Linked DNA regions of Alligator mississippiensis. The protein of the gene in region 2 interacts with the protein of the main gene of each other region in a biochemical or structural test. Links are inferred from orthologs where the notes say so. Each region holds a gene or a part of one and is shown on either strand. Other genes may lie near its edges. The genes, in order: CIB1 and TERT.

What was found.
Region 1: the proteins of TERT (region 2) and CIB1 form a complex in vitro, tested with the Homo sapiens proteins (2 studies listed by BioGRID). The link is inferred for Alligator mississippiensis from reciprocal best matches to the Homo sapiens genes TERT and CIB1.

What each region holds. Positions count from the first base shown.
Region 1 is NC_081834.1:856,392-863,733, forward strand, and holds the start of CIB1 (calcium and integrin-binding protein 1), read left to right. Parts: upstream 1-3,931; 5' UTR 3,932-3,990; coding exon 3,991-4,041; intron 4,042-4,131; coding exon 4,132-4,166; intron 4,167-4,842; coding exon 4,843-4,945; intron 4,946-5,416; coding exon 5,417-5,570; intron 5,571-5,844; coding exon 5,845-5,963; intron 5,964-6,047; coding exon 6,048-6,136; intron 6,137-6,638; coding exon 6,639-6,660; 3' UTR 6,661-7,342. Other genes in the region: tubulin polyglutamylase TTLL13, read right to left, coding at 248-537; GDPGP1 (GDP-D-glucose phosphorylase 1), read right to left, coding at 2,063-3,223. UniProt on the Homo sapiens protein: Calcium-binding protein that plays a role in the regulation of numerous cellular processes, such as cell differentiation, cell division, cell proliferation, cell migration, thrombosis, angiogenesis, cardiac hypertrophy and apoptosis.
Region 2 is NC_081826.1:140,165,561-140,173,697, reverse strand, and holds the start of TERT (telomerase reverse transcriptase), read left to right. Parts: upstream 1-4,760; 5' UTR 4,761-4,945; coding exon 4,946-5,173; intron 5,174-7,141; coding exon 7,142-8,137. Other genes in the region: lipid scramblase CLPTM1L, read left to right, coding at 1-84, 1,113-1,200. UniProt on the Homo sapiens protein: Telomerase is a ribonucleoprotein enzyme essential for the replication of chromosome termini in most eukaryotes. Active in progenitor and cancer cells. Inactive, or very low activity, in normal somatic cells.

The DNA.
Region 1 (7,342 bases), on a different chromosome or scaffold from region 2:
ATGGGTCATGCCGTGGTCCCTGCCTGCCACGCTGGGTCCCAGCTAGGTAGCTCTGACAGACACACAAGCATGCCGCACCTCATGCGAGGCACGTGGGCTTTGGTCTGGGAGGCTGGGGAGCTCCCGACGGTGAAAGGAAAGCAGGAGGCAGCCGGCCATCTGGGCTCCAGCGCCTCCCTCACAGGTTGCTTGGCCTGGGAACCAGGAAGCAGAGGCCTGGCAGCGCAGGGGCGCCGGGGCCGCTCACCTTACTCTTTTCTTTCTCTTTCTCAGCTCGGTCCCCACGACACGGTGCTCTGCCACTCGTCTTTCTGGGCCAAGCGGGGACGCTGGCAGAGCTGTCCGCCCCCAGCCCAGCTTGCCCGCGTCCCTCGGCTCCAAGGCCCCCTGCTGAGGAGCGCTGTCCGCAAGCGCCGTTTTACTTTCTCCGCTGCACCCTGCGGTGCTTCCCCGGGAAGACTCCTCTGACTGAGCCCCTTCCTCGTCTTCGTCCTCATCCGTCTCGTTCGCGGAAACGCTGCTGTCCTTGGAGGCCATCTTCCCCGCGCGGGGTTCGCTTACGGAGCTGTACGGAACGAGCTCGTCAGCACGCGACGCACGAGCGTGCCAGACCTGCGAGCGCCGCGTGTGCCGCACGCACCAGGCCAAGGGCCGGCCACTGGGTCACCCGCCATTGCCAGCTCTTTCCCACACCCGAGAGCCAGCGCGCGGTCTGAGCCTTGCACAGCGGGCACCGCATCTCCGGTGAAGACCGCGCGGCAGCAACGGCACCCTAGTGCAGACCCACCCCGCCCCGCTCCCGTCTCAGGGAAAGCGAGGTTGGAAGGGTCGCATCCGGTCCCGCTCTCAGGCGGTGTTGCGCCAGGCTCCGCGCGCAGACCTCGGACTCTGCACCGCCCCCAGCTCCCCTGGGGCAGCCCCCCCTCCCCCCGCAGGCGTCGAGCCCAGGCCCCTCCTGCCACGTGCATCGCACCCACAGAGGGCGTGGCCCGCATCGCCCCGCCCACGGGGTTGGCCCCGCCCCTGCTCCCGGGGGGGGAGGTGCCTCACCAGGCCCCGGGGCGGCTCCCTCCAGCCCCGACGCCGTCTCCATGGCGACAGGAGGTTCCGCCGCCGGCAGGAAGCCAAGCGTTGGGGGCGGGGCCTCAGCAACCATAGAGAGAGGCCCCCTCCCCTCCCGCCGCCTAGAACAGCGCCAAGGCGGAAGCACAGATAGGCGCCTGCGAATTGGCTGAGAATCGGAGCGTCCGCCCGCCTCCTCTCGCCTCATTGGCCAGCGCCCCCGGGGAAGGCCGCGAGCGCTCCCAGCATGCCTTGCTGGACGGGCAGCGGCCCGGAAGTGGGGGAGCACGTGGGCCAGCGGGGAGGGGAGTGGGGCGGGGCGGGGTAGGGTAGGGTAGGGGTGCTGCCGGGTGCAGAGCGCGGGTTACGGGCTGATCGCAAGCGCGAGGCCGGGCCCCGCCACTGACCCCGGGGTCCTGGTTTTCTCCCATGTAAGAGAATCCCACATTTTTGGATTCAGAAGCTACCCACGTTTCCATGATTCAAATACACCACCACTAATACACGGATGTATGTAGAGCGGCGTTTTATTTTAATCGGGGAAAACTGGGTTTTGGGTTCCTCTTTTAAATCTGGAAATTGGGGGTTTCTTTTAAATCAGAGAACACCGGGACCCCTGCTGATTTAGTAATTAGCACCAATCCCCCCTCACTAATCACCAGTCACTGATTACAAGAGGTGCCCGAGCCACTGCCAGGACACCACGTGCAGCCCCCCCAGCCCTTCCTGGGACACGGGGCCACGTGCGGTTCTTGAATGAATCACATGGACTTGGAATTAATTTGGCTGGCTTGGTTTGGGTCATCTGTTTTTCCTTAAAAAATAATAATATCGAGAGGCAGGAGTTGTGCAGAGACCCGCTCCCTCCCTGCAGGCTGCAGCACCCGAGCCCCCACCCGGAGGGGTGCCCCCCCCACTTCCACAGGAGTTACAGAGCACGCTGGCTGGGCTGGGCTGGGCGAGTCAGGCCCCACAGCTGAGGGATGAGCCCCCCTGGCAGTTAGCCCGTGAGCAGCGTCACCAGCTCGTCCTGGAGCCGGGAGAGTTGGGGCGCCGGGAGGAGGTATTTCTGGATGGTGCACAGGGCCGAGCGCTCCGTCAGGCTCTGGAAGTCCTGGGCGGTTTTGACTGGCAGATGCCCTGCCAGCTCACAGAGGGCTACGTTAAATGCCGCTTCCTCCTTGGCCCCGAAGCAGGACTTCCTGGCCCAGACAACCACCCGAACTCCAGATCGGGCTGCCGAGCGGGCTGGCTCCCCAGGGGCAGTTCCCCGCGTCACAAACACATTGTGTGCAATCTCGTTCTCCACCAGGTAGTCGGTGACTCGGCAGGCAGCACGTGCCAAGGCCCCCAGCCCTCGCCCCTCGCCGTAGAACAGGAACCCCGGGGCTGGCACGCCCTGCAGCAGGTGGAAGTTGAGAGCAGGGCACAGGGGCTTGCTCGGGGCCGACTCAATTAGGAGCTCCCAGTCCAGGTAGAAGCCGTGCAGGTGCAAGTGGTTGACAGAGGCCAAGGCTCCCAGGCTGTTGAAGCCTACACGGAAACCTGGGTGAGCGCTGAGGAGAACAGCTTCCAGTCCAAAGTGGAGCAGCTCCTGGGTGAGAATCTGAGGCAGGCAGAGCGTGGGGTCTGGAATAAGAAGCACGTGCCCAAATTCCAGGGGACTGACATTAATCACCACCAGGACACGGTTAGGCGTCTCTGGGAGCCTGGGCTCAGCACCATCCTGGGCCGGAGCCTGCCCCCCCGCTGGCACGTGGGGACTGGGGCTCCTGGTCAGGCAGAAGAGGATCTCCCCTGGCTTGATCTTACTGAAGTGGAATTGCTGCGGGTCAAACCTCTGCCTCACGCTCTGGATGTCCTGTGGCTTCCTCCGCTCCAGTCCCCTCTGGATGTTCAGCTGGGCCACAAAGTGCATCTCGCCAGGCAAGATGCGGGTCTGCAGCTCCCCCAGGGGATACCGGAACAAGCCCTGCTTCATCCTGCGCTCCCAGCCAGACTGCAATGCGTGGTCGAAGTGGGACACGGCGCGGCTTGCCAGCCCATCTGGCCTGCTTCTCCCCCACCCAACCCCCTGCAGAACAAAGTCCTCTTCGCTATAGACAAAGTCCTCCAGGCCGGAGGCAGCGGGGTGCTCCGGCTGCTCCTGAGCGTGCAACATTTCCTGGGGAGCTTGGCCTGCACGCAGTGACGCGGTCGAGTTACCTGCTCTGCTCCCCCGCTGCTGCTGCTCTGAAAGAGGCAACGGGACAAGTCCGTGGGAATTCAGGGACCACAGACGAGCCAGTCAGATTGTTTGCCGCGACCCAAGCAAACCCCCTCCCCCGTCTGAGAAGCACTCCCCCTCCCTGGTGAGCCCCACTTCCTAAAGCACCTGCCGAGAGCCTGCTCCCCTAGCCCACCCCCGTGCAGGCGGCCTGGCAGGATGGGCACCGGGGGTCACAGAGACGGCTCCACAGCTCAGCCTGGCACGGTGGTCACCACCCTGCCCCTGCCCAGGCCACAGCGGAGCCGTCTCCTCCCCGCTGCGCTGCCCCCAGCCCTGGCAGCCGGTCTCCATCGTGCCAGACGCTGCAGAGGGAGCCGCGCCCAAGTGCTCCACGGGCAAGCCTCTGGGGCCGGCGGCCGGGCGCGCTGAGCTGGCTCAGCCCGAGCAGGGATCCCGCAGCCCCGGCCAACCTGCTGTGCGGGCTGCCCCGGAGCCGCGGTTTCCCGCAAGCTCGTCCCGCCGTCTTCCGGCACGGCAACTCGTTCCCCCCGGGCCGGGAGCCGCGGCCCTTCCCGCCAGCCCGCGCCGGGCCTCGTCCTGCGGGAGCCCGGCCGCAGCAGCGCCTACTCACCCGGCGCGGGGCCCTTTAAGAGCGGGGCGTTGCCATGGGAGCAGGTTCCGGGAAGCTGTGACGTCGCGGCAGCGGATACAGTGTTGCCATGGGGGGCTCGGCCAGCAGCGTGCCGCCGGACCTGCTCGGCGAGTACCAGGTGCCGGGGCCGGGCGGGGGTCGGGGCCGGGGGCCGGGGGTCGGGGCCGGGGCCGGGCGCGGCGGGTAACGCTGCCTCCTCGCCCCGCAGGAGCTGACGTTCCTGACCAAGCAGGAGATCCTGATGTGAGTAGGGACGGGGCGGGCAGGGGACGCGTCCGCACGCGCTGCCACAGCCCGCTTCTCCGCCGGAGGGGCGAGGTGCCTTCGGGCTGCTGCGCAAACCCGGCTCCAGAAACCCGAGACGCCGGGTCGGGGGCCGGGCGGCCCGTGGCACCTGCCGCGCAGAGCTCAGCTGGCACCTTCCCAGAGCGGCTGGAGCAAAGGGGCGAGCGGCGCGGGGTGGCAGCCCCGTCCGCCTCTCCCTGCTCCTGTGCCCGAGTCCGGGGCTGGCACGCCTTGGCCCCAGGGCAGAGCTGGCAGCAGCTCACGGTGGCTGTTGCTTTCAGTGGTGCCAGCGTTGCTTCGCAGGCGAAGCAGGAAGCAGGACGCAGGGAGCGGCTGGGCTGTGCCCCCCCGCCCTGGGGCTGTGGGCACCGGCGCAAAGGTCCTCGGGCTCCGTGCAGGGCGTGGGCTCATGCTGCTTTGCTGCGCTGGGATAGCTGGCACAGCCCCAGCCCCATCGCTGGGGAGCTCCGCACAGAGCTGCGTGCAGCGAAACGGTCCCAGAGTGTCTGGCACGTGGGTCTGTGTCTGTGCACCTACCCGGGGTGCAGCTGCCCTGGGCGGGCTCCCGCTGTGGCTGAGCCTGGCCCTGCACTACAGGCTGCCCTAGAGCAGCGCTCATTCTTGTCTCTCGAAGCGCCCACAAGAGATTCAGCGAGCTGGTGCCCAAGGAGGAGAGGGATCAAATCCTGTCGGCGCGGGTCCCCAAGGACAAGGTCGTCACGCTGCCTGAGCTGAGGGTAGGGCACGTGCCCCCACTCCTTTGCCTGCCCCTCCCCTCAGCCTGTGAGGCAGCTGGGCCAGTCCGCTGTGCTTGGGTCTGGCCCCAGGCGCAGGCCCAGCCCCTCGGGGCAGCCCCTGTTCACCATCCTGGAGGTCAGCCTGGTAACAGATGCAAGGGGGGAGCCGGTCATCCCCTGCCGCACTGTCCAGTCACCGCCTGGAAGCCAGCTTCCTCTTCCCTGCTGAGCTGTAGGGATGTCAGAGCTTCCAGAGGGATTGGGGTGCATCGGGACTGTAGCCAGGCACATTTCCAGGTCATAGCAAGTTCCAAGGGCTGTGGTGCAGTCTCTGATTGAGCTTGGGTGATCCTCTACTCTGCTGAGGCACGTAGCCTGTTTCCAGCCAGACGTGCAGCTGAAAGCGCAGAATTGCCCCTGCCCTGTGCCAGGGAGCTCCTGCCCTCTCAGTGATCCTCTCTGTGCCTCCAGGCAAACCCGTTCCAGCACCGGATCTGCCGAGTCTTCTCCACGGCGGAGGATGGGGACGACAGCCTGTCCTTTGAGGACTTCCTGGACATGCTGAGCGTCTTCAGTGATGCCGCCACCTCGGAGATCAAGTCCCACTATGCCTTCCGCATCTTCGGTAAAGACCTGGGGCCAGGGGGGATATGCAGCTCACGGGGCCGGCACAGAGATGAGCTCTGCTCCAGGTCCAGCTTGCACAAGGAGGGGCCCAGGAGGAACTTTTGCTCTGTGCAAGCTGGGCCTTGCAGCCCAGCCCCACGCGAGCCCAGGGCCAGCAAAGGGTGGAGCCCCTGAGCCTCCAACCTGACCCATCTCCAAGCTACAGGGCCATTGCCAGGGAAATGGGATCATAGCTGGTTCTCCCCTTTCTCCCCTCCCCGCCCCCCACAAAGATTTTGATGATGACGGGACGCTGGACAGGAAGGACCTGGAGAACCTGGTGAATTGCCTGACAGGGGATGCAGACGGGACCCGGCTGAGCACCTCGGAGATGGACCAGCTCATCCAGAACGTGAGCATGCAGGCCCCGGCTGGGTGGGGGGCAGGGCCGTGCTGCCCTGCCGGTGCTCGTGGCTGACATCTCTTTTTCTTTCAGATCCTGGAGGAGTCCGACATCGACAAGGATGGGACCATCAACCTCTCGGAGTTCCAGCACGTCATTTCCCGCTCTCCTGACTTCGCTAGGTACGGCTGCCCTCGCTGCCCTGCCCAAGAGCCCCTTGTCTGCCCTGACCAGGCAGAGCAGAGGAGGAAGGGGCAGTAGCCCCATTATCACTAAGGCCCAGAGCCTGCGATGGCTGGGGTCACAGAAGTCTGCTGCTGAGCTGGGCATGACCCCAGGTCTCTGGCTAGTGTCTCACAGCTCTGAACAAGAGCCTGATGCCCCCACCCTGCTGTGCAGAGGGCAGTGGGGGACGTAGCTCTCCTGTCCCCAGGCAGAGACCAAGCCCACCCTTCCCTCCCCTTGTAAAGCCTCCCACCTGCTCTTTCCTGGCTGCCAAGCTCCACTGCTGTGGGTGCGGGGAGAGCAGCTTGTCTAGCTGTGGGCAGCAGGGATGTAGGGATTTGCTCTGCTGCGAGCAGACACGACCTGGGAGGCCAGGGCTGCGCTGCGGGAGCCAGTGCTGGTGCTAGACATGAGCTGGCTGCTCCCCTTGGCCCAGCACGGTCGGTCCTTCTCTTTCAGCTCCTTCAAGATTGTGCTGTGATGGCTCCTGCAGCCCATCTCCCCCCTGCCCCGCCCCAGCCTGCTGCAGAGCTCGGCGCTGGCCCTGCACAGCAGCTGGCCCCTTCCTCTTCTCGTGACCAAAGCCAATGCATGGGCGATGCCGGCGCCTGTCCTAGTGCCTTACACCAGCCCCGCGGGCTGTGCCTCCTGCGCTCCTCCTGCTGCACGGGGGAGGGACGCAGGCTTCTTTCTCTGCTGCAGCCCAGCTCAAGCTGCCCTTGTCCTCACAGCCTCAGGCCTGGAGATCTAAGCAGGGGCTACCGGGCCCAGGATAGAGCACGGCAGGCTGGGACGTGCAGTCTCCAGGGCCACGTGTACTCCCTGCCTCTTGTGCTGATTGAGGTGTAGCCCATAGCTGGGCACAACACTGACACCCTACACTGGAGCAGAGATCTCTCGCTGGGAGACTGTCACCTCCTGCTCCGTGTGAATCTCAAGCACCGATTTGTGCCTTCCATGAGCAGCCTGGGAGCTACAGCTCTGGCAGGGGTCCCGCTGGCACTGTCCCTCCTCGCTGCCTCCTTGGGGTGGTCTGAGGCCACAGCCCGGGCTGTAGCAAACCTGCCTCATTTCTCTAAGCAATAATGTACCCAGCACTTTAAAAGTCCTGGCTCAACAATGTCACATCCCGTGCCAGAGGTCACCCAGGTCAGCTCCCTGGG
Region 2 (8,137 bases):
TTTTATCATTACTATGCCAACATCTCATAGACTGGCATGTTTTAGAGATGATGTTGTGTTCCTGGTCTACCTTTACCAAAGATGGTAAGCTTTTCTCCTATGCCTCTTCTTTGATACATATTTACTATTGCTAGTTAAAATATGAAGATCCATGTAAGTACATCAACCAAAAAATAAAGAAGCAAAAATAATAGTTCAGCAAAGATTTAAAAGTTTCCCTTTTATTGCATACTAATGTATAGTATACTGTGTTTTGAAATCAAGTTAAGTCTCGAACACTTACCAGTCTTTAGATCCTTTTAGAGATCACTCAGACTTTCTTTCAGGACAGCACTTATCCCCAGCCCAATGGCTGATTCTTATTTACATAATTAGGCTTGTCTGCCTTTTAATATTTGCTTGAAAATCCCTGAAGACCAAGTAAGAAGCATGTTCTGGTAAAGCAATTCCTTCAGTAAAATCAAATCTTGCTTTCTTTAAAACAAAATTCTAGCCCTCAGGTTACAAAGATAATTTTGCAAAAATAAACCAATAGCATAATCTTCCCAAATCTGTGGATGATTCCATTGGTTTCTGCTACTCGGTTTTGCCATGCAGCAGAATAAAACTAACCATTTTCCCTGCTGTGCTTCAGACAGAACCTTGTGTTAGTAGCGAGGGTGTCAAGAATTGACTGCAGCTTCATGTTTGTTGGAGGGGGTTATCCAGAAGTAGACTCTCGAGTTATTGTTTAGAGAGTAAGTTTCGAAAAGGAGATGTGGAGAGAAACTTTTCAGTAGTAGCAGAGACCTCCCATCCCCCATTCCTACTCTCAGCCTCTTTCAGCATGCAGTGAGTACTGGAGATCATCTTAATAAGAAGGTTTTGAAGGAGACCCAAGGGGACCTTCCTTCCATCTGTTAAAGGTGGGTTGAGTTTCAGATTTGGAAGCGGAAGATTGTTCTAAAGGATTTTCTACTTGAGGACCTAATAGTGTTCATAGGCTGGCGCTCAGGAGACAAAGCAGATGATGAGCAGGAAATGCTGTTTTAGCAGACTGAGCAGCAATTGATACGGTCTTTTACTAGGGATCAACCCTGCATATAATTAATTCATATTATTTTTTCCGAAAGGCTTTATCCCGTGGATAAGAGCAGAATGAATGAATATGGAGAATGTTATGAAGAAAAGCCGAAAATCCTTAAAAAAAAATTAACATAATTCTAAACGGTTCTTTCCTTGGACTGCTACTGGCTACTTGTATTATCTGGTTTGAAGGAAGAAATAAGATTGGATTGCAAAACAAGAGTATTTTAAAGTTATGACAGGACTTCATGGACAATACATCTTCTACATTGCCAAAATCTATTTTTGATGATTCTCCAACATTTCAAAGTTCCCTTTGTTGATTCCTTGAAGAAGTCTATCAGTGTGTCTGCCAGATGTCACTCAATAGCTAGACTTTTAAATTTTTCCATGAAACTTAAATATTAATTTGTCTTTGTTGTTGTGATGACTCTCTAAATGTGTTTTTTGAAACAGCTTAGTAACTGGAAGTGTGGTGCCTGCACTGACAAGGGGATGCTAAGCCATGAAAACTACAGTAAGCCAGTGGTTAGGTTACAACAGAATTAAGTGTCACTGCAGAACCACATACACATCCAAGTGTGCCACACAAAACCATGTTCAGCTGACACAGGATATGGAAGGTTTGAAGCTGACTGACTTAAGCTATATGTAGGCTTTAAAATAAGCTCACTGCTTCAAATATTCTTCCTGGATGGAAGGGGCAAATAACCTAAATGAACAAAATATATGACAAATATTTGCCAGCCTTTAAGCCCATAATAGGACTTGTATCTTAATTTATTTTTAAAAGGCAGAGGCTTTTCAGTAAGACAAAGGAAAAAAAATCCAAAAATTCATGAGCATGTGCAGCAAATGATTTATTTTTAGTACATATCTAATGTTGCCTAAACTCTTCTTGCATTTGCTAGCACAATACCCTGCAATTTCCCATCAATATAGGTTTTTATATTGGCACGTGAGCCATTGTGGTATACCTCTTGTCTAAATACATGTTTGCATGATAGACACTGTTGTGATCTATTGTGCCAATTCTTTTTCAGGAGAAATGTTTTCTTGGTTCTCTCGATTTCTATAACATTAACATGGAAAAATAAAGCATAATGCATTCAAATAATGGGAAGGTATTTTGTTTGACCCAATAGATGCTCAGAAAATCACCTATGAAAATCAGTGCATAAAATCGTCTTTTAAAAATGTGCCTGTTAAGTTAAGCTGTTTACTAAAGTACATACTTCCAGTAGCAGCAATGTTGCTTAAAAGGCAGTTTCTGTCTAGCTGTCTATCATGTTATCAGTTTGGGTATGTGTTAATCAGATTTCAATTCAGCACTTTAGAGAATGTTTAGACTGTGCTGAAAAGAATGAACATTCAAACTGCAGACAAACAGTATGCATTTAGAGCCCCTATTTATATGGTTTTATGAAGCAAATTTCCATTTAATTGGCTATGCTTGAAAAGACTTATTGCTTCATTAGTGGCAAATAAAATGTCTGATTCTGACAAACAGGTTCACTCCTTGGCAATGCCTTTTGTTTTAAAGAATATTTGGCAACTTTTAATGAACTTAGATTTTTTTTTCTCCAAAAAATGTTGCTGGGTTTTGTGTTTTTGTTTTTTAATTACTCTGTTTTTATTGGAGTCTGTCAACTTATTTTAACTTCAAGATGCCACTAATTCAAAATGTAAATGATAAATGATGATTTGTTTCATGAAATAGCTTTTTACCATATCCTAATGTTATGGTGGTCCATAGGCACTTGTTTTGGTTGTTCACGAGAACACAGGAATATGCCTGCCTGACTTGTCTCACTGATGTAAGCAGACCCTTTTATACCAATGCAGCATAATAAAGGAGCCTAACAAGAGAGATGAATTTAACTTGTGCCCAGTTCAAGGCCTCTTTATACTGGCAGCCATATACGGGAGCTTTAACGAAAACAGAATCAGGCAGTGAGACTATCAGCAACACTGTGGCATGTCCATAAATATTGGTAGGATTGGGACTATAGTTCATATAAACCATGCATTTATTTTATCCTGATGCCAGCTACTGCTCTTTGTTATTAGAGACTTGTCTCATCTGTTTCATAATAAATGATATTTTTATGTGTTGAAAATAATTGTCCTATTAAATAATTTATTGAATGTACCCTTTTGTGACATTTTAAAATCAATTTGAGGTGACCTCTGAAAGTCTAACTTACTGTAGTCAGGTACTTTTAATATTTCAGCATTCCTTTTCTGCATGTAATTATTTGAAAATCATTCCTTAGTCTTTGTCTTGCCAGGTTTTTTTATTATCCTTTGTAACTTTCCATATGTTCCATAACTTTCCGATCGTGATAAGTGATGAATCAATCACTTCACGTGCAACGTGGCCATGCTGAGTATAAGGTTTGAGGTTTTAAGGCAACAAGGCTTTGTGAAGCTCTAATGAGTCAATAATTTGTTTTCTGCAGTCATGGTACAAATAAAGCATTTATGTCTGAGACTAACTGAGTTCTGATTTCTTATTGGAAAGGATGTGAGAGAGAATTTGTGTTACTGATGGTCGTGATGCATAGACTAAACGAAATAAACACTTTCCAATGCAGTAATCTTTTTAATAATCTTACAGAAACCATGGAGAAACATCCAAGTGAATATTTTGAGTGTTTGTGTACTTAAAAACACTCCTGCTTAAAAATATCTCAGTGTTACAGATGTGGAAGTGAGTGCCATGAATCATGCTCTCTAAACCACTGACCATTTTTGTTGCTTTCCACTGGACTCTTTCCAATTTATCCATGTTTCAAGGTGCAGTGCAGCCAACTGGATACAGTGCTCCAATTGAGCCTGCACCAGTGCTGAAAAGAGCTGGAGTTGCTTTTCTGGATGGGCAAGGGACACTCTTGTTCGTACCTAGTATGCTATTGCCTTTTTTTGCAATAAGAGCACCTTGTGGATTGATTCAGCTTGTGCACTATAATGCACCCCTTTTTTTGTAGGACAGTACCCTAACTAGTAGATTTAGATGAGAAAGTCACCATTTAGAGCAGGTTACTGCTACTTTACCACTGGTTTTTATGCCTAGTTTCCCTAGGTTTTCATTAAAGATGGCAATAATGCAGTTCTACTACCACGGTGTATGTTTTTATTAAATGCTATCTATGGCTTATCATTTCACAACCTTGCCATTGTCCTTTAGCCCCAGTGTCTTGTAAATGTGTCAGTCAATGTAGGAGAGGCCAGGATTTCTTAGGGTGTTTGTTAGTTTTCCTTGGACCAACTGTGTAGTACAGTTGGACACATTTTCGAGAACTTTTTTCCTCAGACAAAGCACGCAAGACAAAAATTGCTTTCAAAAGCTTGCCTAACTCTACTACACAGTTGGTTCAACACAAGATATTGCCCTAAAAAATACTTGCCCCTCATAACCTGGACCATCACGGCTTAAAACATCACGGACACGATCAGTAAAAGTAGGTCTTCACTGGGGCTGAGTCAGGAAGGCTCTTCCGCCCAGGAAAACACAGATCTGTTAGTGGGAGAGGTGGACAAGTTGCAGCTGGAGGCTGGTGCAATGCGCGCAGGTAGAAGCAAGGCGGCGGATGAAGAGGAGAGGCAGCACTGCAGCGCCTCACTCCACCGGCTCTTGCTTCAGATCCAGATCTAGATCTAGACCTAGCCCTCCCGGGGCCGGGTCATCCTTCGCTGGGCGCTAGGCAAGCAGACTCGCTGGCCCCGGTGCTGAGACTGGGAGGCGGTAGCCGCCACCGCCCCCACGTGCGAGTTGCCGGGCGGGAGGCTGGAGGCGGGGCTCGCACGTGTGTCCGCCCCGCCCCCTCCCGCGGCTCGCGGAGCATGAGAGGCAGGGACCGGGTCGGCCGGGGGCAGCATGGCGGGTCGTGGGCCGCTGGCGGTGCTGCGCGGCTGCTACGCGGAGACGCTGGCGCTGGAGGCCTTCGTGCAGCGGGAGCAGGTGGCGGCCGGGGTCGGGGCCGGGGCCGGGCCGGAGCTGGTGCGGCCCGCGGACCCCGCGATCTACCGCGCCTTCGCGGAGCGCCTCGTGGTGGCGGTGCCGTGGGGCGCCCGCGCCCTGCCCCGCCCGCTCTGCTTCCGCCAGGTATCCCCGGGGGCGGGCGGGCCACGGCATGGCACGGGGGGGGAGGGCGCCGCCTGCTCGCTTCTGCCCGCTGTGGCGGCCCCGGGGCCCCTGCGCCCTCGCCCGCCCTGGGCTTGGGAGAGGAGGCGGCCGCGGCGGCGGCACCCGCGCGCGCACCGGGCCCCCGCGTCCCTGCACACGTCCTGCTCCCCTCCGCGCATCCCGCCGCTTCCTCTTCACACACGCACTTGTTCTCAGTGTCCCCCTACACATGCACACGCATTGTTCCCCCTACACACGCACGCCCATTCCCCCTGCACCCCCCCTTGTTCCTCTTGCGTACCCCCCCCGATTGTTCTCCTCACACACACTCATTGTTCCCCCCCTCACACACACAGATTGTTTCCCCCTCCACACATGAGCACACAGCAGTGGGGCAGGGGGGTGTTCCAGTCCCAGGAGGGAAGGCATTTAGGCTGGGGGAAGGGAGCTGGCACTCTCCTCTCTTTTCCCCTCCCAAGAGAAGATGCTGCCCTGAGGTGGGGGCCTGGCTTGAGGATGTCCTGAGCAAGGATCCTGGTTTTCTGTGATTTTAAAGAAAAAAATTCTCAATTTTCCGTTAAAAAAGGTACACCCAAATCCATATTTTTCTGTGATTTAAAAAAAAAAAAATGTAACACCTCTATATATATATATATATATATATATATAAATGAAACACCACTATAATATATATATATATATATATATCACAGAAAATTGTGGCTTTGGGCATACCTTTTTTTTAAACTGAAAATTGGGCATTTTTTTTTAATCTGAGAGAGCCAGGATCCCTGCTCATGAGGTCTCTCCAAGTTCAAGGCACCCCGGGGTATTGCTGCAAGAGGGCTGTCCCTGCAGTTTTAAAATGAGGTTGGACCAATGATTTTCTACCAGCGTGTGGCCGTGCCCTTGGGGTGTCTTGAGATCCTCTTGGGGGTGCCACAAGGTGTCACGCAAGGCTAGCACTATCAGGTGTGCTACACAGATTCATAAGATGTACTCGGAGATTTCAGACAGGAACCCAGAGTGTCAAAAGCGTTCTGACTGGCTCTTGTCTTTCTGAGGCCTTTGGTCTATTTATAGTAAAAAAACCCCAGTGAAAACTAGGAGCTGGTATTTTTCAAGGGGGGGGACCTCAGGTCTCTTCGGGTGGGGGAGTCATGTTTCCTGAGGGGTGCCTTGAGTCTAAAAAGGTTGAGAACCACTGCTATCAGCCGTGCAAGGGTTGGGGGAAGGGATTCCTCTTTCCCTGCTGAAGTGAGAGCACAAGGTTCCTGGTCCCTAAACTGGGATTGGGTAAAACAGAAGGTTAGGTGTCCACGGCTTATTTGCTCTGCTCTTTCTCGTGAAGTAACATTTAAAAATTGAAAAGGAACAGCCTCTGTTGTAATTGGGGCTGAATAATGCAATTCTCGTGTTGCAGAAAGAGAAGGGCGATCCCTTTCTGTTGTGTTCAGTAAACAGGAGAGGAAGATTTTGCAGACTTCTCTAAGTTGCTGCATAAACAAAGCTATTCTTCTGTTGACCTGTTTGATTCTCATGAATTGAGATAATTTAATTCATGTTTCTGGAGGGATTGGTCTGTGGTATAGTAAATGCTGTAAATGCAAATTGGTAGATCCTCTGACCTGAGGATCCTGCAGTCTAAACAGACAGGATGGACTGTGGGTGAGGAGAGAGCATTATCCCAGTTCTGTGAAGGGGGAGGGAGTAAGTGACTTGCCCAAATTCTTCATCCCTGCTTTCAGGGTACAAAAGTCTGTAACATTTGAAAATGCCTGATGCAGTGTGGCATGTGCAGGCTGATCAACTTGTTTTCAAGAGTCATAATCGACAACCAGAGTCTGGGGCTAAGCACGCATGCTTTTGAAGGTGGATTTGTGGTTTGTCCCCCCAAAAAAAGTCTTAGGCAAAGTTAACTTTTTGTTTTATTTTTTCCCTTTTCAGCTCTCTGCTATGAGTGACGTTGTCAAAAGAGTTGTTCAGAGACTTTGTGAAAAAAAGAAGAAGAATGTGCTTGCGTTTGGGTATTCCTTAGCAGATGAAAACACTTCTCATTTGCTGGTTACATCTACTGTAGGTCTATGCAACTACCTTCCTAATACTTCAACAGAAGCTCTTCACACTGATGGCCTCTGGGAAACATTACTGAGCAGGATAGGGGATGACCTGATGATGTATTTGTTGGAACACTGTGCTGTCTTTATGCTAGTGCCTCCTAGCTGCTGTTACCAAATCTGTGGACTGCCTCTCTATGAACTCATTTCAAATAACTTGGAACCATCCCCAGTGTTTGTTAAGCAAGCATATTCAAAGCGTAGAAAGAATGTATTGCTTGATTATGTGCAAAAGTCTAAGTTTCGTAGGAATTACCTGTCCCAGACAAATTGGAAATGCAAGAAGAGCTCTGAAATAAGTAATGTGATGACAGGGAGGCAAAAGAGTAAAAAATCAGGAGTCCCCATGTCTAGTGATCAGCATTTTGCTACAGCTGAGGAAACTGTTGGACAGAATAGTAGGACAAGTGAACAAGACAAGATGTCAACAGGAGACCTGGGAAGTTGGAGAAGCCCTGGCTTATATCCAGCAGCTGCAGTTGCACCTTTCAAACGAAAACGTGGTGGGGACCAGCTTGAGATTTCAGTCAAAAGGGTGAAGATAACAGCAGAAGAGCTGGAGAAAGAAACTGAGAGACTTGGTTCTAATGTAGACAAAAACAAATCCCAAGTCGCTGGCTTGGGATACATAGAATCATTTCCTCAGGGGAGCGAGGGTAGTTCATCAAGAGTGCCTGCTTCTCGTCAAGCATTAGACACTCATGATAGCCAGAAGTTTGTAGCAAATAATGAGAATTCATTTTTGCTACATGATCAGAGTAACAAGCTCTCTAAACCTAGAACCAAAACAAGGACAAAATCCAACAGAGAGCAAGACGCCTGTAAA